Canis lupus familiaris: one gene and its partners. The protein of the gene in region 4 interacts with the protein of the main gene of each other region in a pairwise test. Links are inferred from orthologs where the notes say so. Each region holds a gene or a part of one and is shown on either strand. Other genes may lie near its edges.

Region 1 (6,461 bases), on a different chromosome or scaffold from region 4:
CACAGACCTTGGAGCCAGACTCTGTTCAGATCCCAGCTTTGGCGCTTATCAGCTGTATGATTTGGGGCAAGTCTCTGAATTCCTCTGCCTCCTCAGCTTCGTTATCTGTAACATAGAGATAATAACAATACTCACCTCCAGAAGGTGTTGTGAAAATTCATGGAGTTCATTTTTTTTAAGTGCTTAGACCAGTGTCTGGCATGTTAAATACGTAAAATTTCACAAGAAGGAAGTACTTACCCTTTTGAATCGATAGATTGGGAAACTACTAAATTCGGAGTTACCTTGAGTTATTTATTAACTATTAAAAATATATATGATATTCCTATCAGTTATAAAATAATTCGTATTTTCTTTATCACACCAGAATCTGCAGTTTGCCATAGAGTATGCCTGTAGGAAATGTTATTTCTTGTCAGTCTATGGACAACGTTCAATACGCATATGACTTTGTGATGAATCTGAAGAGGTCTGGCATTCACAAGACACATATACTGTCCATCTACTAACCCTCCATGCCTGCAAAGTAGGACCTATAATTGGTCATTTTTAAGTGATTAGGGTTTTAACTGATTGTATGTGGAAGCTACACTAATAGGATCTCCCCACTCCCTGCACCAGAATCATGCCCAAGATGAACCTATGAGAAGAAAACCAACACAGACTACAGTTGAGCCCCTCAGAAACTTAAGAAATCACTGACCAGAGCTGCTGGCAGGTATGCTTGGAATACAAGGGTCATTAGGAAGCTTAAATCTAATGTATTCCATTGTCTGAGAATGGACCATATTTAGAGAAGGGTTTAGCCAAGAGCAGAAGTAGGGAATGGTTGGAAAACAAAAGGTGTCCTCAGGTCTCTTGCATGGTCTGGGGACACAGATATTCCAATCTCTTTACTACAAACATCCGTATGCTATGTGGATACAAATCCTGATGGTTAAAAAAAAAAAAAAAAAAAATCCTGATGGTTGCATTTTTTTTTTAAAAATCTATATTCATTTGTTATAATCCAGGTTTACCAAGCCACATTCTGATGATAATTGGTCTTCCTGTATAAGTTTGTCCACAAGGAAAATTGTGCTTGGCACTAATATTTTTTATTGTAAATGAATAAATCAGCATTCTGGATTGTATAGCAGTTGCTATGAATGGTTTTGTTTTGTTTTCGCATGAGTCCCTGAGGAAATCCTCAAGTCTGGGTACCCAGCAGGAAGCAGGCTAAGCACCTCCAAGAGAACAGGCCAGAGGTCAGGATGACAGAATGAAGGAGACACTCCAAGCTGTTGTCTGTAGGTGACATCTCTCCATCTCATCTTTGAAAATCACAGCTTGGCCCCATACAGAACCCGCATCCCCAGTACTGTTGCAACTTTGGGTTTTCCTGATAGGGAGAGTTTCCAACTACATTGCTCTCTCCAGGAAAAGTGAGTTGAGGCGGAGTTTGGGCTTTCATTTGGAATCTGTGTTGTATTGATTATTTAAACCATTTTCATACACTACCTCTTACCTGCTATATTTACTCATTCACTTCCAACAGGCATCTTGATCAGTGAGCAAAACACTTTGTTGGGAGATAGATGGTTATAAAGATGGATTGTGAAGCCGTAGAAGCAACCCCAATGTGTGCGGATGAATGAATGGATAAGCACAATGCGATGGCTATACGTTAGGGAATATTGTCCGGCCTTAAAAAGGAGGGAAATTCTGACACGTGCTAACACAGGGATGGGAGTGGAGACATTACACTAAGTCAAATGACACAGTCCCCAAAAGACGAATATTGTATGATTTCATTTATATGAGGTCCCTAGAGTAGTCAAAATTTGGAGACAGAGGGTAGAACGGTGGCTGTCAGGGGCTGGGGCAGGAAGGAAGGGGGACTTGTTGTTCAGTGGACACAGTCCCAGTTCTGCAAGATGGAAAGAGGTAATGGATGATGGTGAAAGTAGCATAACCACATGACTATGCTTAAGGCCCCTGACCCTACACTTAGCCATGGTTAACACGGTCCGTTTTAGGTTATGTGTGTTTTACAACCATAAAGAAAAAGAGGCAGATGATGGCTCTTGTCCTATGGTGCTTACAACCCCTAGGAGAGGCCAAACAGGAGGGTGGGGCTAGCACTGTAGGGATGCACACTAAAGACGGTTAATACTGAGACCAGCCCATCTCACAAAGAAACTGATAGAAGGGGGCATCTGGGGAGCTCAGCGGTGGAGCACCTGCCTCCGGCCCAGGTCGTGACCCCGGGTCACGGGTTCGAGTCCCACATCGGGCTCCCTGCAGGCAGCCTGCTTCTCCCTCTGTAAATAAAATCCTAAAAAAAGAAAAAAGAAACTGATACAAGATGTAAGTTGTTATGCAAATTTCCCGACAGGCTTAAAACCCCTCCCATTGGTGCTTGAGCCCTGAGCGCCCCGAGCCTGCTCCCAGGGCTGCACAGCGCCGCCGCCCGCAGTGCACCGCCAGGCACGTAGGGGGCGCTGCGGCCCCGCCTCTGCTCCGCGCCCCCCCCGCCCCGCCTCGGTGGCCCTCACTTCCGCTTCCGGAGCCCGCCTCCGCGCGCCGGGGTCTGCGCAGTCTCCGGCTTCCGGCCCGCGAGCAGCATGGCGGCGGCCTCGGGTGGGGAGAAGGAGAAGGAGCGGCCGGGGGGCGGCGCGGGCGCGGCGGGCGGGAACAGCACGCGGGAGCGGCTGCTGTCTGCGCTGGAGGACCTGGAGGTCTTGTCGAGGTAGGGGCGTCGGGCGGGCGGCCTGGCTGGAGTCGGGGAGGCGGCGCTCCGGAGACCGCGGCGGGGTCGTGGCCTCGAGGTCGCAGCCCCACGAGACCCGGACGCGGCCTCTTCCCCCCGCACAGCCCCCGGGGGACGCTTGATAGCGGCGGTGACCCCGGGACCCTGACACTGGGAGATGGGGGGAGGGGGGACCTGGGGGGGCGCTCGGTGACCTGCAGGGACACCCGGGACCTGACACTGGGAGATGGGGGAGGGGGGACGTGGGGGGGCGCTCGGTACCTGCAGGGACACTCCGGGACCTGACACTCGGTGATGGGGGAGGGGGGACCTGGGGGAGCGCTCAGTGACCTGCAGGGACACCCCGGGACCCCGGCACTGGGAGATGGGGGGAGGGGGGACCTGGGAGGGCGCTCGGTACCTGCAGGGACACCCGGGACCTGACACTCGGAGATGGGGGGACTGGGGATCTGGGGGGGCGCTCGGTACCTGCAGGGACACTCCGGGACCTGACACTCGGTGATGGGGGAGGGGGGACCTGGGGGGCGCTCGGTGACCTGCAGGGACACCCCGGACCCCGGCACTCAGAGATAGCTGTCACCTATTTCCATGACTGTGTCCCAGCGGCTAGGACCTAGTCAAAGCAGATGCCATCCTTTGTCTACAGAAGCCACTTAACTTGATTTCCATTCTACTCCTCTTAAAATCCATTTTCCAGGTAGCTTAGCAATTGCTTAAAAACATAAATCAGGTCATGTCATTTCCATTTAAAATGATGCATCAGTGGGGCGCCTGGGTTGCTCAGTCAGTGGGGCGTCCACCTTGGGCTCAGGTGGGTGCAGGGTCCTGGATTGAGCCCTGAATCCGCTCCTTCCTCTGCCTCCCCCTCCTTCATTTTTTTTTTCTCTCTCAAAATAAAAAAATCTTTTTAAAAAAGTTAAAATGATCCAGTCGCTTTCCATTGTACCTGGAATGAAATGCTGATTCTTTACCATGACCTGTGAGGCCCTCACACAGCCTGGCCCGCCTGCCCTCCAGACCCGTCCTCATTGTGTATCCTGCTCCTCGGTACTGACTGCTGTGTCCTGGCCACCCTTCCTCAAACCCATCTTTGGGCCCCTGAACCCGGCTTTTCTCACTTATAGAAGCCCTCCCTGACTCCACCAGTGTGAGTGGCCAGACAACTCACTGACACACTCTAACACTGCTTCAGTTTCTTCCCAGCCCTTCTTCTAACTCTGGTTTGATTTACCTGCTTTCTTGGTTTTTCTCTTCTGTATTATAATTTAAATTCCTTTGTTCACTTTCATAAGCTAGGCATCCAGAAAGTGCCTGGCACACAGTGGAAACTTAAATGTTTAATCAGTGGGTGAATGAAGACTTTCCATTGCCATATCCACTTTATTCATTAATTAGCTAGCTAGTGCATGCATAATGGTATGAGAACCTCAAAGTGGGGAAGGTTGGGTCCAGTTGGCACCATCCAGAAAAATAGTTTGAGGCTGGCAGTAAGGAAGATGGAAATATGAAGGTGAAAATAGTCTGGCGGCCAGTGAGAAGGTACAGGCTTTACTGGGGCTGACTGGTGGTGTCCTGTTGCTAATTGTGCATCTGTACCTCTTGCATAATTTCTGGAGTCCCATCTGTCAGCAAGTTTGAAACTAGTGTATCAGGATATTACCTGATACATATTTTATACTCCTCTTTATACTAGTTTTCATAAAGGAAAATTGGCATGTCTAGTAAATAAGCATTCCAGAAAGATAGGACTTTATTATACATTAGAATCCCTTAGTTGATACCTGTTTGGTTAATTAAAAATTTCAGTTCACATAGAAAATCATTTAAAAAATGATTCATCTACTCCTTAATTTAGGGGGTTTTCTTGCATAAACCACCCATAATGCCTTGTCCACCAATTTCTAGTGTGTTTCGTTAAAGTGAAATGAGGGGTGCCTGACTGGCTCAGGCAGTAGAGTATGCGACTTGATCTATGGGTTGTGAATTTGAGCCCCACCTTGGGCATAGAGATTACTTTAAAAAAAAAAAAAGTAAATAAACTTAAATGCTTATCAAGCAGTCTTAGGGTAGACTTGCTGAATTTTCATGACTTTGCAGTTCTTTGCAGGCAGCTGTTGAGTCTTTCCCAAGTATTCAGTTTAGGTTTTTATGGAAATTACTCTTTTCTGTTGACAGTCATATTTCGTTGGTATTTATGAAATGGATATTTAATATATTTAACTATACTAGTAAAGTAAAACTTGCATAACTGGATCTGGTAACAGACATAACTGAGTCTTGGTGAGAGAGTACCGCTTAGCTGATGAGAGCCCAAGCGCACGGTCACTGGGCAGGGGCTCTGAATACTCAGCATGCTGTGGGTGCCATGAATCTAGCAAGTCAGTTAGGTAGAGATCAGTTAATAAAGCTTCTGTTGTATTTTGCAAAGATGTTTTTGTTTTTCTTTTTTAGAGAACTTATAGAAATGCTGGCAATTTCAAGAAACCAAAAGTTGTTGCCGCCTGATGAGGAAAACCAGGTAAGTGGTTTCTTTTTATATTACAAACAAGAAATCCCCATTATTTGTGCAATTTCCCTATTTACATTTACTTTGTGTGAGAACAGGAAGATTGGATTCTGTTAAATTATAGATTACAATTTTTAAATTGATACTTCGAATCACTTACATAGGGTAACACTGCTTGAGAAGAAAAAAGTCTAAAGGTTTAGCAGTATTGTTTTTTCTTCTAGTTACACATTTATTCGTTTTTGTCTTTTGAATTAACCAACTAATAAACTTGTTAAATGGAGGTTAAAACAATATTTGAAATAAAAAAAGTTAATGCTGTCATAAACTACCTTTTATTATATAGACCTGGTTCCCCTAATGCAACTTGAGAAGTAATAGAAATTAAAGAGCATACAACTGTTAACAGAAGTTATTTTGTGGAGGTTAAATTTACATGTTTTTATTTTCTTTATTCCTTTCTGTGCTTTGTAATTTTCTACGGTGAGCAGATTTTTTTTTCTGATCCAAAACCTTTTTTAAATTAATTAATTTGTATTATTTATTTACTCATGAGAGACACAGGCAGAGGGAGAAGTAGGTCCTCTGTGGGGAGCCCGATGTGGGACTCGATCCCAGGACCCCGGGATCACAGCCTGAGCTGAAGGCAGACACTCAGCCACTAAGCCACCCAGGAATGATCCAAAAACTTTTTAAAGTTAAGAGGGCAAATGTCATTTTATGTGTTTTCTACTGTAATTTAAAAAAAAAAAAAAAAAGTTTTTTTAAAAGAAAACAGCTGGGAAAGATTAACCTTTTTAGTAACAGGAGACATCTCATAGATCTCTTCTCCCTCCTCTCTGCCCTATTATTATCTTAGTTTTATTTTATGATATGTTTTGAGGGCAGAGAAATTCAATTGACTGATAATAGAGAAGTATCATAAAACTTGTTTTCTTCAACGATTAATCCCTTCAGGTGGAGACGGGGAATTAGATACGCTACAAGTAGTAAAAGCTGGGACTTTGGGGGAGATTAAAGTTGTTTTTAGTATGTTGTTTGTTTTTAGGAAAAGCTTATAGAGAAAAATGCTAATAGAGGAATGCCAGTCTCAGATACTTTATTGATAAATACATGTAAAATTAAGTAAGTACTTACTACAAAATGAAATACAGGTTTTGACTTTACTTCCCAGGCACACAGATTATTCAATAGGTCATAACC
Region 2 (6,450 bases), on a different chromosome or scaffold from region 4:
AGAGAGCATGAGCCAGGGGCACAGGGAGAGAGAGAAGCAAGCTTCCTGTTGAGCAAGGAGCCCGACGCCGGGCTCTATCCCAGAACCCCATGATCATGACCTGAACTGAAGGCCACTCAACCACTGAGCCACCCAGGTGCCTCTCAACTTGCCCATCTTAAAACCAAAGAGCAGGGACACCTGGGTGGCTCGACGGTTGGGCCTCTGCCTTTGGCTCAGGGTGTGATCCCAGATTCCTGGGATCAGGTCCCTCACTGGGCTCCCCACATGGATCCTGCTTCTTCCTCTGCCTGTGTCTCTGCCTCTCTGTGTGTCTCTCTCCTGAATAAATAAAATCTTTAAGAAAAATAAAAATAAAAATAAAAATAAAAATAAAAAAAGAGCAGAAGACCTCCTCCCCTGCCAGTCCTCTCCCTGTCACTGCTCTCTGGCTTCCACTCTGCAGCCATACTTCCAGGAAGGCCCATCTATGTCAGCTGTCACATCCCGTTCACTCCATCACCCCACACTGGAACACCAAATCTGCTCTTACAAAGATCAAGGGTATCCTGGCTGCTGGATCCAAATGACATGATGTTGGCCTCTGCTGATCATTTGCCTTCCCTTGCTTAAGTGGTCTCTTTCCTTAGCTTCTAGGACATTCTGAACTTCCAAGCTCTCCTCAGCAACTCTCCTCTGCTACCCTCTACCCCTTATATGCTTGTGCCCTCAGGGGTTTGGGCTTTTTGCACCACTTCTGTGGCTTAAGGGACCACTACTATACCACCAACCAAATCTTTATCTTCATTGGGCCGCAGCATAGACAAATTTCAATGTCCAGAACAAATTCACAGGTGCCACCCTCCCCCACCATTATGACCTCCTTTCTCTGTAGGTGCTCTGCCTCAGGGAAGAACAACACCCCAAGCAAGAAACCCAGGCCTCACCCTTAGCTCCTCCTGCTCGCTCCACAGCTCCTCAGCCAACCACAGAGCCCTCTCAATTCCACCTCCCAAAGTTGTCCTGGATCTCCTTTCCCGGCCCACTGCACATCTTCGTTCAGCCTTTGATCATTTCTTAGCTGGACCCCCTACTCACTGTTCTCCATATCAGTCAGTGCTCTGCTCAAAGTCAGCGCCCTGGAGGATCCAGTCCAGCCATCCCAGAGTCTCAAGCTGGGATGTGACAGGGGCGGGCTGGAACCCACCTCTGCACACTCCAGGGCTGGCAGTCCTGGCCACCAGGCCACAAGAACCTCTACTGCCTCGAGTACTACAATGGCCCAGATGGAGTACTCACCACCAGAGATCAGAGACCCCACCTGGGCATCCCCTCCCCACAGAGGAACTGCATTACCACTTTCTGGGAGAAAGAGCCACGAGCACCCAAGAGATGCTCTAGCAAGCTGTCAGAGCTGCACAGCAAAGCCTCCCCACTCAATCCTCAGGTACAGTAAGGATAGTAACTGCCCAACTTTTCAATACCACGCCCTGACTAATTATACTCTTGTGGCCTGGGGCCAGCAGACTTCACAGCTGCCAGGAAGATCAGGGGATCTGCTCTCTTCCCAGCCTCACATTATGCAGCCTTTAGGGTCAAGCCCATCCAGAGCCCTGGGGTGTCCCCCGTCTTCATCCTGTAGGAGTGTAGGAGAAGCATGGCTGGTGGACAAAGAGCAGCCACGCTCTGGGGAGCACACCCACGCCTTAGGATGGAGAGGACTACAGAGGAACCCATACCTTCACACTTGGAGGTTGGGTCTCCATGTTTACCCATGTGACCTTAGAGTTGCTCAGATAAACCAAGGTAAAAGGAGGTGAACTGTGGAGTTAAGGGAGACGCCAAAAGATCTCAGTCTTAGAAAAGAGGAAGTTAAAAAAAAAGAAAAGAAAAAAAAAGAGAAGAGAAGAGAAGAGAAGAGAAGAGAAGAGAAGAGAAAGAGAAAAGAAAAGAAAAGAAAAGAAAAGAAAAGAAAAGAAAAGAAAAGAAAAGAGGGAGACTAAATCATCCATAAGGTTGCTTCTGGTGAAATCAAAGTGGAAGTTTCTTCCACACCTGCAGAAAATCAGGCATCATCCCTTCTTCTGTTATCAGCAAGGCAGCAGCCCATCAGAGACCTTAAAACCATGATCGCTGGAAACTTCACAGGCCCAGCTGTTTTGACACTGTGTGCGCAGGTGATAACATCCAGGTGTCTGAAGACTATCCTCCTTTCTATTTAAGAGTATAGGCCTGTTACAAAGCCAAAGCCCACAAAAATGACCCTGAAGCTGGTAAGTCAAATGGACACGGCTCCCCAAATCAGGCCTACCAGGAAAAGGGGGATTTTGCTTTCTACGGCGCCCTGAAGGACAGCCTTTAGGTATCTCAAGAGGCCACTGAGCCCTGTGAGGCCATCATCTCAAAGGGCCCTGGGAGGGAAGGATGGGACCCTTTCCCTCGAGGCTTCCATAACTCCCTCCCCCCTTTCTTCCAGCGGAGGGCGCTGGCATTCGTGTCCCCTCCCCGATGTCCCGCAGTTACCTCGTTTGAACTCCTCCAGGACGGCGTCCAGCTTGGTGTCGTTGAAGACGAAGTGGAGCGGATGGTTGTAAAAGCGGGTGATGGTGCTGAGCGGCGTGCAGTCTTCGGGATCCACGAAGGCCAAGTCCTTGAGGTACAGCATGTCCACGATGTTGGAGCGCTCCTCCTCGTACACCGGGATGCGCGTGTGGCCGCTCTGCATGATGCTGGCCAGGACGCCGAAGTCCAGCACGGCGCCGGCGTCCAGCATGAAGCAGTCCTCGAGCGGCGTGAGCACATCCTCCACGGTCCGACAGCGCAGCACGCCCTTGCTGAGGTCGCTGTAGGGGTCGCCGCCGCCGCGGGCCAGCTCCAGCACGCGCTCGCGCAGCCGCCCGGGCCGCGCCGCCAGCTCCAGCAGCTGGCCCACGGGCAGCGCCACCGGCAGGGTCAGCAGCACGGCCAGGCGGCTGAGCAGCAGCGCGCGCGGCGCCAGCGCCAGCGCCCAGCGCCCGCTCACGGCGGCCGGCACCACCTCGCCCACGAGGAACACGAGCCCCGCGCTGCCCAGCACGGCGGGCACGGCGCGCTGGCCGGCCGCGCGGTACAGCAGCACCGCCAGCGCCGCCTGCGCCAGGCTGGCCAGCAGCAACAGCGCGCCCAGGGCGCAGCCGGCCCAGCGCCGCGCGGGCTCCAGGCGCCGCGCCGCCGCACGCTCGGCCTCCGTGCCGCTCTCGCGCAGCACCTGCACCTCGGCGGGCGCCAGCGCCAGCGCGCTCAGCTGCAGGCCCCGCGCCAGCGCCGCCAGCGCCAGCAGCCCCGCCGCCCCCAGGCCCAGCGCCCAGGGCGGCGCCGCCTCCTCCGCGGCCGCGCCGCCCGGCTCCACGCGCACGGCCAGCAGCGCCGAATGCGGGCGCACGGCCTCGGCGCGCAGGCGCAGCAGCGCGCTCCACTCGCCCGCGGGGGCCGCCGCCTCCCGGGCCGCCGAGCCGCCCGGCTCCCCGCGCACCGCCAGCAGCCCCGAGTGCGGGCGCGGGGCCTCGGCGCGCAGGCGCAGCAGCGCACGCCACTCGCCCGCGGGGGCCGCCGCCGCCGCCTCCTCCTCCTCCCCGGGCGTCGCGGCCGGCCCGCCCTCGGGGCAGCCCGCCCCCTCGGGGGCCACCCAGGACCAGGAGCTGTTGGCCAAGCCCGAGCCGAAGAGGCGCAGGCGGAAGGCGGCCTCCGGGGCGGCCCGCGCCTCTCCCCCGCGCGCCCACCCCGCGCCCGCGTCTCCGTCTTCCTCCAGACAGACGCCCAGCACTCGCGGGCCCGGCGCGGCCTCCCCGGCGGCGACGCCCAGGCACAGCGCGGCGAGCAACCAGCCTAGACGAGCCGCCGCCGCCGCCGCCGCCGCCGCCGCCATCGCCCGCTGCCCCCTCTCGGCCTCCCGCGCAGCCTACCCCTCCGCCTCCCCCGGCCCAATGGTCGCCGGCCTTGGCGCCTCCTCCGCCAATAGGCGGCGGGCGAGGGCGGGCCTCAGGGTCGGACTAGGCTGCGCCGGGAGTAAACAAGCGGCGGCGCGATCCCGGGGCGGGCCGGGGGCGTGGGGCGTGGGGCGTGGGGCTGCGGGCGCCGCGGGGCTCGGCCGCGGCTCCCGGGGCAGGGGGGTGGCCGGCGACCTGGGCGTCCCGTTCCCGCGGGCCCTCGGCGCGCCCCGAGGCCGCACCTGCGCTCTGGGAAGCCGGGGCGCGGAGCCAGAGACGCCAGTGTGTGGCGGCCGCACCGTTTCTTAGGGAAGGGCTCCGCGCACCGCTGACCTAGGGGCCCCGACGTCGGGAAGCTCAAGCTTCTTAGGGCTGATTGCGCCCGACTGTGCTCTGTGGGGCTGGGGACGTGAGACCTAGCCCTTTGCCTTCAAGGACCTTGCATTCCTGCCAGAGAGAACGACGGTAATTCTGTAAACCCACGAAGTCGCTACCTCATTGGATCCTCAAACTACTTTTACAGGAGAAAAGTGAAGCGTGCCTTAGGGTGGATGCAGGATCCAACACGACCTACTTACTACCCCGGTCACCTTCCCAGCCACGTTAGCAGAGGGGCAGCGCGGTCAAAAATTCCTGTTACCGGTCACTCTACTTCTAGCAGATAATCCTTGGGAAAATATCTTCTCGGGAACAAGAACTATTCAACAGGATCCTTACTAGAGAGTTATTTTAGAAGGCAATATGGTTCCTTGACGGTATGGAATGCTTTTCACCCGTTGTGCATGATCTTTATATGACCGGAAGGAGACAAACTGAACAAGTCTTTTCTACAAGGATCCAGATTGTTTTTGTATATTTTCTTTACATTTTTATGTATTTTCAAATTTCCTAACAAAAGTAGACTTTGATAAGGGTGCACATCTACATGTCATTTAAAATTTTCCTAAGGATTCTACAGAAACACATTTGCTAGGTCATGGAAATAGTAAGAAAAAGTGTAGGCACTGTGACCACAATTAAGTAAAACGGGTGGAAGGCAACATGCAAAAATGAGCAGACCCATTGTGGATAATCAAAAGAAAAAATACTTTGTGAAAAACTCCTCAAAGGATGGTGAGAATGTCTCTTCAACGTTGTAAATTCAGCGCTGTGACTAGGCCAACCACGTCTCCATGTTTTTGGTTTTTATTATCTAGAGGGTGCTATGCCTCACTTACGAGCCAGCAGAAGCAATGACACTACTGAGCCTTTCCACTGGATCAGCATGCCTCCTTTGAAGAAAAAAAATTATGGATTCACACTTCTGTCTCCCAAGTCCACATAAAACGCTGACACTGAAATAGAATGGATGACATACTTGAAAGTTATGTGCCTTAAAATTTATTAATTAGCAAAGAGGGACGCCTGGGTGGTTCAGTGGTTGAGCATCTGCCTTTGGCTCAGGGTGTGATCCTGGATTCCCCGGATCGAGTCCCACATCAGGCTCCCTGGATGGAGCCTGCTTCTCCCTCTGACTGTGTCACTGCCTCTCTTTCTGTGTCTCTCATGAGTAAATAAATAAAATCTTTAAAAAAAAAAAAAGATAAATACAAATCCTCATTTTCATATCTGACAAACGCTATGGAGAAAAACAAAGCAAGATAAATGGACAGAGGGACTGGGGCCACGCTGTTTTAGATGCGCTGACCGGGGAAGTCTTCTCCAAGGAGATGACATTTGAACGGAAGCTTAGATGAAGTGAGGGGGTGAGCCTCACAAAGACTTGGGAGAAGAGTGTTCCATAGGGTGGAGACAGGAAATCCAAAGGTCCTGGCATGACTGTCTCCCTCAGGGACTCTTCCTCACTACACTTACTGAGGGGTTGGTGGCACCTGGCACGTAGCAGGACCTGACACGTGTGTGGAACATATGGGCGGATGAAATTTATTCTACCTATATACACCAGCTTTTGCATCTGTGATTTTATCTGAAATGTTCTTTTTTTTCCTGAAGTGTATCCTTTTTTAAAGCACTAGCCACCATCTGTCTGCTCTGGTAAGCCTGGCTAGCCTGGGCCCCTGGTCGCAGCACACTTGACTACACACCACAGCCACACAGTACAGTACATATGGGCACCACATGAGTCTGCACACAGATACCTCAGGAGTGAATGCAGTGGGGTGACTCTCAGAGGGGCTCTTCAGGGGTTGAGCTGTCCAACTTTGAGGCCACCACCAGTTCATGAGCAAGGACAAAAAGGCAATTGCATGTTATGAAACAATGCAATCCTCCTTTTGAATCAAGCTCCTTTCTCCTTCAGCCCCCGGGGGAGAGAGGAGGGGCTGTGTGCCCACTCTAACCACCTCCTCCAGTAGCTGCAGGCAGAAGACTATGGTGTCCATTTTTACAAGATTCCTCATTGTGGCAATGGAGCACACTTGCCCTGTACAGCTAACAGCAGCTGCTGTGACAACAACCTTGATTATATAGATTTTGTAGATCTCATTTCTGCTTCCTTTCTATTGTT
Region 3 (6,481 bases), on a different chromosome or scaffold from region 4:
AGTGAGCGCCATAGGCCCACTGCTAGCACACGGCAGAGCTGAGATTCGATCACAGGTTTGCCAGATTCTGAGGCTGTGTGTGCACTTCCCAGCCCGGCTTCTGACTTCTGTCCTGATTCAAGTTCAACAACATACCATGGGGTGTGTTGAATTGGAATGAATTTCCCCCACCTTGGTTTCTGTTATTCTAATTTTACACTATTGTGGCAATTTCTGGAAGAAACTCCTTGTCTACCTTTAATGGCATCCATTTCCTGAAGTATTTGCTGGGCACCTGCTTGGGTGGCCAGGTTTCCTCAGGGGACCATACAGCCTTGCCTTCAAGGAACTGGAGACAGACCCACAGGCAAGTCCTGAAGAATATATTCAGGCCTATCTGACTCAAGGCCTGGCCAGGCCAGTCACCCTGAGACCTTCCCAGGTGTGAACTCCAAGCTCACCTCGACCATGTGCCCACCCAGTGCCAGGTATTACACCCTCTCATTTAACGCTCACAACAGTCCTTGGGGAGGTGGTCCCATCCCACTTTATAGATGAAGAAATTGAGGCTGGATGGGTTTTTTGTGCCCTGCTGATTTGGAGGGGAGCTCAGATTCCAAAGTCCCACCAGCTTCCCTGAAACTCTTCTTCCCTCTCTCCCCCTCTGCCTCCCTGACCCTGCCAGCCTCACCTCGGAGCCAGCGTAGGAGGAAGTACTCGTCGGCATTGGGCAGGGTGGGCAGCAGGTCCTGGAGTTTGTCCCGGAACTGAGGGGGAGATATAATGGTCAGTGGTGCTCCCATGATCCCTGGGCTCCCAACCCCACCCCGATCCTTCTTAAACTCAGCCTGTCAGTCCTTCCCAGGGACCCTGCAGGGTGGAAATCACACAGTTAGCAGCAGCTGCCTGGATCTTTTTGCCAACTGGGAATGGAGCACCCCACCACGGCAACCAGAGTTGGGTCCTTCTCAACTTTGGGGGTTCTCTGCCTCCCCAAGATCCTTATTCTATAGGTCTGAGGTGGGGCCCTGCCATCCTCATTTTTACAAAGATCGCTGGTGAATCTGATGCAGGCAAACCAGAACAATTTAGGAACCTTGCCCTTGATACTGGATCTTATGAGTCTAGATTTGAAAGCAAGTTACTGAACCACTCTGAGCTTCAGTTTCCTCATCTGTGTAGTGGGGATAAAGATAAATTTGTGCCAGTCAAAGGAGTGTGTACAGGTAAAGCACTTAGCATCAGTCTTAGCTTGCAGCAGGTGCCAGAAAAATGTGGGCACTCAGCAAATGTGGACTGCTCGGAGCTCCAGACAGGGGAGTCTTTGTGGAAACAACCCCAGGCAAAGGTCAGCAGGGAGGAACTGCAAGAGAAGCCAGGGATGCCGCATCAGGCCCGTCAAGACTGGGGAAAGAGAGGGGCTGACCTGCTGACGCAGGCTCTGCCCACTGGCAGAGTTTGGGAAAGCTGTTGAAAGTTTAGGTATGGGTCTGGGGCTCAGTTCTGGGAGAGAACTGTCCCCCACTTCAATGGGGACTAAGGGAGCAGAAGGCAAACCCTGGAGGGGTGGGTTTGTGGGAAACTGTGAATGAGAATTTAGGATTAGAAGTCATTGTTAGCAAAGCCAGAGGATGCTATCTTGACAGCCATCCACCAAACCTCCTTTAGCTTTATGGATGATGTTTAAAATAAGAATGTGGGGTCGCCTAGGTGACTCAGTGGTTGAGCATCTGCTTTTGGCTCAGGTCACGATGCTGGGGTCCTGGGATGGGCTCCCTGCTGGGAGCCTGCTTCTCCCTCTGCCTGTGTCTCTGCCTCTCTCTTTAAAAAAAAAAAAAAAAAAAAAAAAAGAATGTGTTCATGTATTGATCACATAATGAAAAACAAATAAAAAGACGAAAAATCTCCAGTGTCAACAACTAAGGTGAGCGAGAGCACCAGCTATCATCATCGCCCACCCAGTCCCAGCAGGCACAAGGATCAGTTGAGGAAGTTTTTAGGGGGAGTGACGGAGAGTCACAATAACCAAGAAATAATAATTCTGCACGCTCAGCCCCTTCAGATTACCAGAGTTCCTCCTGTGAACCTCTGGGATGTGCCCTGAGGCAGGAGAAGCAAGGGTCACATCCCTGCTTTGTGGATGTGGGAAGGGAGGCTGGGGTGCTGGAGGGTCTTCCCCATGGACAAAGTAAAAAAGCTACAAGGCCAGGAGGAGTCCACACCTTCCAGTCTCAAAGCCACCCCACCCTTGGGACGCACGTCAAGTAAAAGATAAGACCACTAAGCAGGTGCTGGGAAGGGTCCAGAGTAACTTAATGGAAAAAATATCTTAACAATGAGGCCATACTGGGGCACCTGGGCGGCTTGGTGGTTGAGCATCTGCCTTTGGCTCAGGTCGTGATCCCAGGGTCCTGGGATTGAGTCCCTCATTGGGCTCTCCCGAGGGAGCCTGCTCTTCCCTCTGCCTTTGTCTCTGCCTCTCTGTGTGTGTCTCGGGAATAAATAAATAGAATCTTAAAAAAAAAAAAAAATCAAAACAAACAAACAAAAAAGAACAATGAGGCCAAATGGAGAAAGCAGCCTCTGGCAGCCCAACCAAGGTGGTTAAAACTAGGCTAAGGTAAAAAACTTAGAAGGAAATGCTCCTAGGCATGGTTGTCTAGATCTCTGGGACCACGGGTGACTTCTTTTTCCTACTTTCCTTTTTCTCCCTAATTTTTAAAACAACTAGCATTCATTTCTATTAAATAATGGGAAAAAATAAGAATAAACTCTTTTCACATTGTTTAAAGCTCTTTGACCCACAAGCATTTCCATCATAATTCACCCCCAAAGGCCAGGTGTCCAGCCCCTCCCAAGAGCCTAGTGTCAGGGCTCCCCTGAGGCCTCTGCCAGTGGGGAGGGAGAGGGTTAACCAGGGGACTCCCCCTCCTGCTTCTCTTGGGGACCCCTCCTTCAGCTCAAGACTCTCTGCTCCTGGAACCTCATCCTTTACCTGGAAATTCACCCAGCCCCCCCCCCCCCCCTTCACCTGGGACCCTTCTCTCCTTCACCAGGAATTCATCCAGGGTCCTCCTCCATGGGGGGTCTTCATTCCTCCCTGGAGGATCCTCCCCAGGGTGGGAGCCATAAAAGAAACCATAGTCTCCCCAAGTCCGAAACTTGCCCTTCTTTGGCCCAAAGTGTAAGCCAGGTAGGTCCGTCACCCCACTCCCCTAACGTAAAGTCACAGTTTCCAGGCCCTGCCATCTCCTAATCAAATTAATGCTGTGGCACCTAAGACCTGAATATGTCCCCCTTCCCCAGGGTGTGACACTCTCAGCGGCAGCTTGACGGACTGCCTTGAAATCCCCCAAACCCCTCCATTCCTCTTTAATGGAAACACCAGCGATGGGGAGATGGCTTCCCCCCTGGGGAGTCGGAAAGCCACAAAGACACCAAACAAACAGATGTTGCAATCCGGGCAGGAGATCTGCGGGGCGGTGTGCCCAAGGCTGCCGGGGACGGCAGCACCACCCCACCCCCAAAACCAGGGGACAAGGGCCGGGGACAAGGGCCGCAGAGGGCGCAGAGGGCGGGAGGGGAAAGCGGGATTTGGCCCCAGGGCAGCCCAGGGAAGGGTTCAAGGCCAGTGTCCCATACACGTCTGCCTCAGCAACTGGGCGCAGGGGGTGCGCGGGACAGGAGGCTCGCAAGGACCCCTTTTCCATCCAAACGCCGGGGCTCCAGCCCAGGTGGGCAGCGCCAGGCAGCTCCCCCCTCCCGAGCCTCCCGGCCGAAGCCCCTCACCGTGGCCAGCGCCTCCTGCTGCGGGGGGCTCAGGTCCCCGACTCGGCCGCTCATGGTGCCGCGGGCCGGCGGGGGGGCGCGGGGGTGCCAGGAGGGCGCCGGCCCGCCAGGCCCGCAGCCGCCGCGTGGTTTTGTGCGGGGCTCAGATGTCGGCCCCGCCCCAAGCCGAGAGCGCCGCCCCGCGCGTCCCGCCCCCCACCCCGGGGTGTCCGGCGGGCGGTGGACCGGGCGCGCCCCACGCGGGGCAGGGAGCCCGGAGAGCGGACTCGAGGGGAGGCCGCAGGCGCCGCCACCTCCAGGCCGCCTCGTGCGGGGGCTCGGACGGGGTCCTGAGTGGAGGGGAGGGCGGGCGGGCCTGCGGACCTGCGGGCAGCTTCGGGGAGCACACCCGGCTCTCCTCCCCAGCAAGCTGGAGGACCTGGGGCTTCCTTTTAAAACTTTCTTTTTTTTTTTTTTTTTTAAGATTTTATTTATTTATTCATGAGAGACACAGCGAGAGGCAGAGACAGGCAAAGGGAGGAGCAGGCTCCATGCAGGGAGCCCGACGTGGGACTCGATCATCACGTCCTGGGTTGAAGGCAGGCGCTAAACCGCTGAGCCACCCGGGCTGCCCAAGGAACTGGGGCTTCCTAAACCAGACTCCACCCTCTAGATGTGTCCGGGAGTTTCTGCCCGAGGGGCCCCAACCTCCCTGCCCTGGCCTTGACCACTGGCTAGGAGCGCCCTATCCGTGCTCACAAGCTGATGGAGGCCTTTATGTGCAAAATGGTTCCAGCTCCAAGATGGTCAGAAGACTAGATAAGATGATCCGCCATGGGTTAGCCTGGCATTCCACTTAAGTGTGCAATGTTAGGACTTTTTTTTTTTAAAGATTTTATTTATTATTTATTCATGAGAGACACACAGAGAGAGAGAGGCAGAGACACAGGCAGAGGGAGAAGCAGGCTCCATGCGGGGAGCCCGACGTGGGACACGATCCCGGGTCTCCAGGATGAGGACTATTGTTCCATAATAATTACTATGATTGATGCCTTCACCAGAACAGGGAGGGGCTGCATAGGTGGAAATTCTGGGATGGCCCCTCTGGTAGCACCTGGGTAGAATCTATAGCCTGAAGGCCAGGGCATGGGAGGGGACAGTAGTCACTGGAAGCCCCGGTGGGGTGGTGGAAGGCTCAGGAGACCCCGGGTGGTGGGTGGCTGACACAGGTGGTCAGGATGACATCCGGGAATCAGGCAGGGTTCGCTGAGAAAGGTGAGAAAACACAGGTTGGCAGGGCAGGAATTTTCAAGAGACAGCAGGTGGAAGGTGAAAGTGAAGGAGGAGGTAAATTAGGCCATCAGAACATTCCCCCCTCTGCCCTCCCTCTGAGTTGAACAAATTCTAGATCTCTGCTGTAGCTCTGGTGGCCATGAGCTAGCTACATGTGGCTGCTGAGTATTGAAACTGTGGCTGGTCACTAGCACGAATGCAGATGTGCTCTAAGAGTAAAATACATGCCAACTTTCCAAGACTTAATACTCCTCAAATGAAGTATTTCATTAATTTCTTATATTGATTACATGTTGCAACAATTTTTTATATATTGGGAAAAATAAGATATATTATTAAAATTGATTTCATCTGTTTCTTTTTACTTTTTTATGCTTTAGAATTTCTTTAATGAATAAGCTTTATTTTTAAGGGCTGTTTTATTTTTTTATTTTCTTTCAAAGATTTTATTTATTTATTTATTCATGAGAGACACAGAGAGAGAGAGGGAGAGAGGCAGAGACATAGGCAGAGAGAGAAGCAGGCTCCATGCAGGGAGCTCGAAGTGGGACTCGATCCCGGGGCTCCAGGATCCCGCCCTGGGCCGAAGGCAGGTGCTCAACCCCTGAGCCACCCAGGCATCCCTAAAGGCAGTTTTAGAATCATAGCAAAATTGAGCAGGAAGTATAGGGGTGTCGCACATACCTTGTTCCTCCCACCACACACACAGCCTCCCCCTCTATGGACATTCTCCACCAGAGTGGGACATTTGTTACAACTGATGAACCTACATTGACACGTCATTATCACCCAAGGCTCATAGTTTACATTAGAGTTCACTTCTGGTGGCATGTTCTATGGATTTGGACAAATATACAATGACATATATTCACCACTGTGGTATCATACAGAATAGTTCTATTATTTTTATTAAAAATCCTCTGTGCTCTATTCCTTTTACTTTCTAAAAAATGTGGCTACTAGAAATTTAAAATTACATATGTGGCTCACATTTGTGACTTGCATTGTATTTCATTTGGACAACACTGCCCTAGAGGGATTTAAAATCTTAATTAAAAAAAAAATTTAGGGATCCCTGGGTGGCGCAGCGGTTTGGCGCCTGCCTTTGGCCCAGGACACGATGCTGGAGACCCGGGATCGAATCCCACGTCGGGTTCCCAGTGCATGGAGCCTGCTTCTCCCTCTGCCTGTGTCTCTGCCTCTCTCTCTCTCTCTCTCTCTGTGTGACTATCATAAATAAATAAAAATTTTTAAAAATTGTAGGGCTCCTGAGTTGCTCAGTGATTGAGCATCTCTTTGCCTTTGGCTCAGATCATGATCCCAGGGTCCTGGGATCGAGTCCCACGTCAGGCTCCCCACAGGGAGACTGATTCTCTCTCTGCTGGTGTCTCTGCCTCTCTCTGTGTCTCTCATGAACAAATAAATAAAATCTTTTTAAAAG
Region 4 (4,191 bases):
AAAGAAGGAATCGCCTTGGCAAAGGTCCTGAGACTTGCAAGAGCCTTGGAGCGATGGAACCTTTAAGAGGTTAATATGGCTGGAGCAGGGGCGCCTGGGTGGCTCAGTGGTTGAGCATCTGCCTTCAGCTCAGGTGGTGGTCCCAGGATGCTGGGATCAAGTTTCACATCAGGCTCTCCGCGGGGAGCCTACTTCTCCCTCCGCCTTGTTTCTGCCTCTGTGTCTCTCATGAATAAATAAATAAAATCTTTTTTTAAAAAAATGGCTGGAGCAGAGGCTAAGAGTGTAGATTTCAATGTGCCTGGGTGCCCCCAAGTCAGAGAATTGCAACTTATTTCCTTACCAGTTTTGGGGACGCAGAAGCAGGAAGACTCAGCCTCCTCTGTCTGTCAGCGGAATGAGGAAGATTCAGGCTACTCCAGGCTCTGCGCAGTTTAAACCAAGTGTAGGGGCACCTGGGAGGTTCAGTGGTTGAGCGGCTGCCTTCAGCTCAGGTCCTGATCCCGAGGGATCCTGGGATTGAGTCCTGCTTCGGGCTCCCGGCAGGGAGCCTGCTTCTCCCTCTGCCTATGTCTCTGCCTCTCTCTGTGTCTCTCATGAATAAATAAAATCTTTAAAAAATAATAAATAAAAAATAAGCCAAGTGCAGAAACAAGGAAAGGGTTACAGCATAACCAAAGGCCCTGGGATGTGAGAATTGTGAACCTTCACCTGTTCACAGAGGGGTCATCATGGCTAAAGCATGGAGTATACATGGGTGCAGACAGCAGGCATTATTTTTAAGGGCCTCGAATGCCGGGTAGAAGAGCTTGAAATGTTTCCCAAGGGCAATGGGGAGTCATGGAGGGTGTGTGAGCAGAAGAGGTGAACAATGAGGTCTCTGTCTCTGGGGCCTGGGAGGGGAAGGGAGTCAAGGGGTGGGTGGCTGTAGAGTCCACGGAGAGAGAGGGGCTGGCATCCCGGTAGAGGGGAGAGGGTTGGGCTGTTATGGAGGGAGATGACGAGGCCCTTTAGAGATGGATGCAGGAAAAATGGGCAGGATGTAGGGGCGATCTGTGCCCTGAGGAATCCAGGAGAAGCAGCAGCTGGCAGAGGAAGCAGAGATGGGAGGGCCGGAGAGGCAGCGAACAAGAGTGGTGTGTTACAATTCAGTTCTTGGATGGTGCTCAGTCATGTGCAAGTTGCTTGTTAAAATTCCCATGACACTGTAGACAGATCCTATAATTAAAGCCCCCCCCCCCCATTTTACAGATAAGGAAACTGAGGCTCAGAGGCGGAAGAGACATGAGATTGGAGGCTGGGGCAAGGAAGGACCGACAGGTCAGGAGCTGGACATGTGTGTCCCACCGGGACTGGAGGAAGCTGATGTCCTTGAGGAGGAAATAGCACAATAACAAGTCACATGACCAGGGGAGGGGGCTTCCTGTTTCCCGGCCTCTCCCAAGCCAGCCTTGGCCAGCCCGGGGCCTAAGCAAGCAGTGGCCAGAGCTACCCCAAGAGTGTCCAGGGATTTGGGCTGCTGACCAAGGTATTCCTAGAGGTACAGAGGAGTAGCATTAGAGCAGGCTGAGGGGACCCAACCCCAAGATTGGGGCCTCCGACTCAAGAGGACCCTGGGGAGGAGAGGTGATTCTTGAAGTCCTCGAGCCAGGTCCAGATTGGGGACCGAGGGGAGCACAGAGGTAGTGAAAGATAAAGGAGGCAAAAGACAAGGGGAGGTGGGAACAAACTTGTGAGGTAGTGAGCTGCCTGTCAGGAGGGGTATTCAAATGTGCCAGCTCAACACTGGTAATTCAAGATCCCTCCCAGCGGGAGGAGATCGATGCTCATTTCATAGAAGAAGGTATTAAGGCTGTCATTCGCCCAGACCAACAAAGACAAGAGCCGAGATCAGGCTGCGGCTTTCGGAAAAAGAATCAGAGGACTGAATTCTGGACAGCAATGAGTGCCCGGGCCACGCGACCCCGAAGCCGGCGAGGGAGGCACGCGCCACCTGTAAGTGCCCCCTTCCCTGCCGCATCCAGCTCTTTGGGGTCACTCACCCCCTCGCCCCCGGCCTGGCTCGGAGCTTGGCCCTGTGGGTCATTTTCAGGGGGAGCTGGATCCCGTGGCGGAGAGTTCAGAGGAGGCTGAGGCAGCCAGCGGGAGCTCTGAGCTGGGCCCTGTGCCATCTCAGGAGAGCTGCGAGCCGAGGCTGCAGGGGCCAGAGGCAGAGGCCAGTGGGCAGGGCCTTGGGAACAGGTAAGGTCCCCTCCGTCTGGGCTCCCACTCCGGCCCTGGTGTGTCTTTCCTCCCCACAGATCTACCTGTGTTCCTCCCTTGCTCACACACACGCCGTAGCTTCCCACTGCCCTCCTTGCCCAACTTTCAAGGCCCCGGATAATGCACCCTCTGTGAGCCAGCCACCCCAGATGACCCCATTTCCAGAACCTTCTGTCTCTCACTTCACCACAGGACCAACAAAGAGGCTGAGGGGGACTCTAGCAGAGGACTGGCCCCATCTCCCGAGGGACCCCGCAAGCCTGCAGAGGAAGGCCACCAGGCCAGAGATGTAGCTCCACAGGATGGGGAGACTGTCCCCCCCAGGCCTGAAGCCTCTGACGTGTTTCAGGTTCTCCAGCATGCTCTGAGCTCCCTGGAGGCGGCGGCGGCTGCCTGGCGCCGCCGGCCCCCCAGCTGTCCTGGGCCCGGGGAGGCAGAGGACAGAAGTGAGGTGGGACCAAGGCCCTGCTTGGAGCAGGAGGGGGCAAGTGGTTGCCAGAGGGAGGCAGCCAGCCTGGCAGAGAGGAATGACTGGCTACGATTGGCCTTGGGCAGCCGAGAGGAGGAGCTGATTCGCACGCAGGCCTCCCTGCAGGCCATCCAGGGGGAGAAGGAGATGCTGCAGAGAGAGGTGAGGGTCTCGACGTATTGTGCTCTACCTCTGAGGGTTCTCTGTCTAAGGGGGAGGCGGGCCTGGCATAGGCAACCTTCCATTGTTTGTTCATTAGAAAAACTCTTACGGAGGGACGCCTGGGTGGCTCAGTGGTTGACTTGAGTTGAGCCTTTGACTCAGGTCATGATCCCAGGGTCCTGAGATCGAGTCCCACATCAGGTTCCCCACAGGGAGCCTGCCTCTCTCTCTGTGTCTCCTCTGAATAAATAAATAAAATCTAAAAAAAGAAAGAGAAAAACTTTTATGGAGCGTTGACTGCTGCAGAGCCCTGAACAAAGGTGCCTTGCCTTCTTAGATAAGGTGGTCAGAGATGCCCCTTGAGGAGGTGACACTTGAGCCAGGAGGTAAGGGAGGAGCCATGCAAGGATCTGGGGAAAGAGCATGCCAGGCGGAGAAGGAGCTCCCTTCCAGAGGTGGGAGTGTGAGTCAGGGAACAGTGAGCAAGCCAGTGTGGGGGTGAGGGGAGGGCAGGTTAGTGATGGGGGCAGATTTACACGGTCTGTGGGCTTCTGGGAGTTGGGCTTTGGCCCTGAGCCTGGTGGGCTCCTGGGGGGTTCCCCCTCGCCCCCCCACCCTCGCCCTCCCGCGGCAGAAAGGGGCGGGACCTGGTGCCGCGGTCACAGGCGCCCTCTGGTAGGCATGGGAGGAACAGCCGGCGGATCCGCGAGGCACTGGTCCAGACACCAGATGGTGGAAACTGTGGAGGTGGCACAAAGTGGGCAGATTCTGGGTGGTGTCGAAGGTGGAGCTGGCAGGTTTGGGTGTGAAAGCCAGAGAAGGGTTGAGGACAAGTCCTGGTTTGGGGGCCTGCGGGACTGGGAGCCAGAAATGCAGGACCAGGAGCTGTTGGGACCCTAATGAGTTCAAGAAACCCCTGAGCCACCCATGTAGGACCATCAAAGACACAGTTGTGGGGTCAGAATCCAGAGCTCAGGGGAGATGTCAGGACAAGAGAAACACATCCCGACCTCTTTAACATGTGGATGGAATCTAAAGCCATGTGGCTGAAGGAGATGGGGGAACAGGCCCTCATCTTGGGCAGGCCAAGGTGGCAAGATATGGGGCCACCAGAGCCCAGCCTAAGGGGTGGGGCCCACTTCCTGGCTGGGAAAGATGATCCCCGCTCCACATTCCTCTCCTCACCCCCACCCACATTCCTCTCCTCACCCCCACTGCCTCTGGCACCCACCACTCTGTTCTCTATAACTGTGAGTTCAATTTTTCGTTTTGTTTTATCTTAGATCCCAAATATAAGT

What was found.
Region 1: the proteins of USHBP1 (region 4) and MED4 interact in binary tests that used the Homo sapiens proteins (3 or more experiments, as listed by UniProt). The two-hybrid records come from large-scale screens. The link is inferred for Canis lupus familiaris from reciprocal best matches to the Homo sapiens genes USHBP1 and MED4.
Region 2: the proteins of USHBP1 (region 4) and CNNM3 interact in binary tests that used the Homo sapiens proteins (3 or more experiments, as listed by UniProt). The two-hybrid records come from large-scale screens. The link is inferred for Canis lupus familiaris from reciprocal best matches to the Homo sapiens genes USHBP1 and CNNM3.
Region 3: the proteins of USHBP1 (region 4) and SEC14-like protein 4 interact in binary tests that used the Homo sapiens proteins (3 or more experiments, as listed by UniProt). The two-hybrid records come from large-scale screens. The link is inferred for Canis lupus familiaris from reciprocal best matches to the Homo sapiens genes USHBP1 and SEC14L4.

Annotation. Positions count from the first base shown.
Region 1 is NC_049243.1:3,360,705-3,367,165, forward strand, and holds the start of MED4 (mediator of RNA polymerase II transcription subunit 4), read left to right. Parts: upstream 1-2,578; 5' UTR 2,579-2,606; coding exon 2,607-2,731; intron 2,732-5,203; coding exon 5,204-5,270; intron 5,271-6,461. UniProt on the Homo sapiens protein: Component of the Mediator complex, a coactivator involved in the regulated transcription of nearly all RNA polymerase II-dependent genes.
Region 2 is NC_049231.1:46,207,972-46,214,421, forward strand, and holds the start of CNNM3 (metal transporter CNNM3), read right to left. Parts: upstream 3,884-6,450; coding exon 3,540-3,883; intron 3,429-3,539; coding exon 2,503-3,428; intron 1-2,502. UniProt on the Homo sapiens protein: Probable metal transporter.
Region 3 is NC_049247.1:24,016,856-24,023,336, forward strand, and holds the start of SEC14-like protein 4, read right to left. Parts: upstream 3,884-6,481; 5' UTR 3,823-3,883; coding exon 3,769-3,822; intron 747-3,768; coding exon 671-746; intron 1-670. UniProt on the Homo sapiens protein: Probable hydrophobic ligand-binding protein; may play a role in the transport of hydrophobic ligands like tocopherol, squalene and phospholipids.
Region 4 is NC_049241.1:45,884,161-45,888,351, forward strand, and holds the start of USHBP1 (Usher syndrome type-1C protein-binding protein 1), read left to right. Parts: upstream 1-1,391; 5' UTR 1,392-1,528; intron 1,529-1,809; exon of another isoform or gene 1,810-1,867; 5' UTR 1,868-1,941; coding exon 1,942-1,995; intron 1,996-2,092; coding exon 2,093-2,241; intron 2,242-2,454; coding exon 2,455-2,893; intron 2,894-4,191.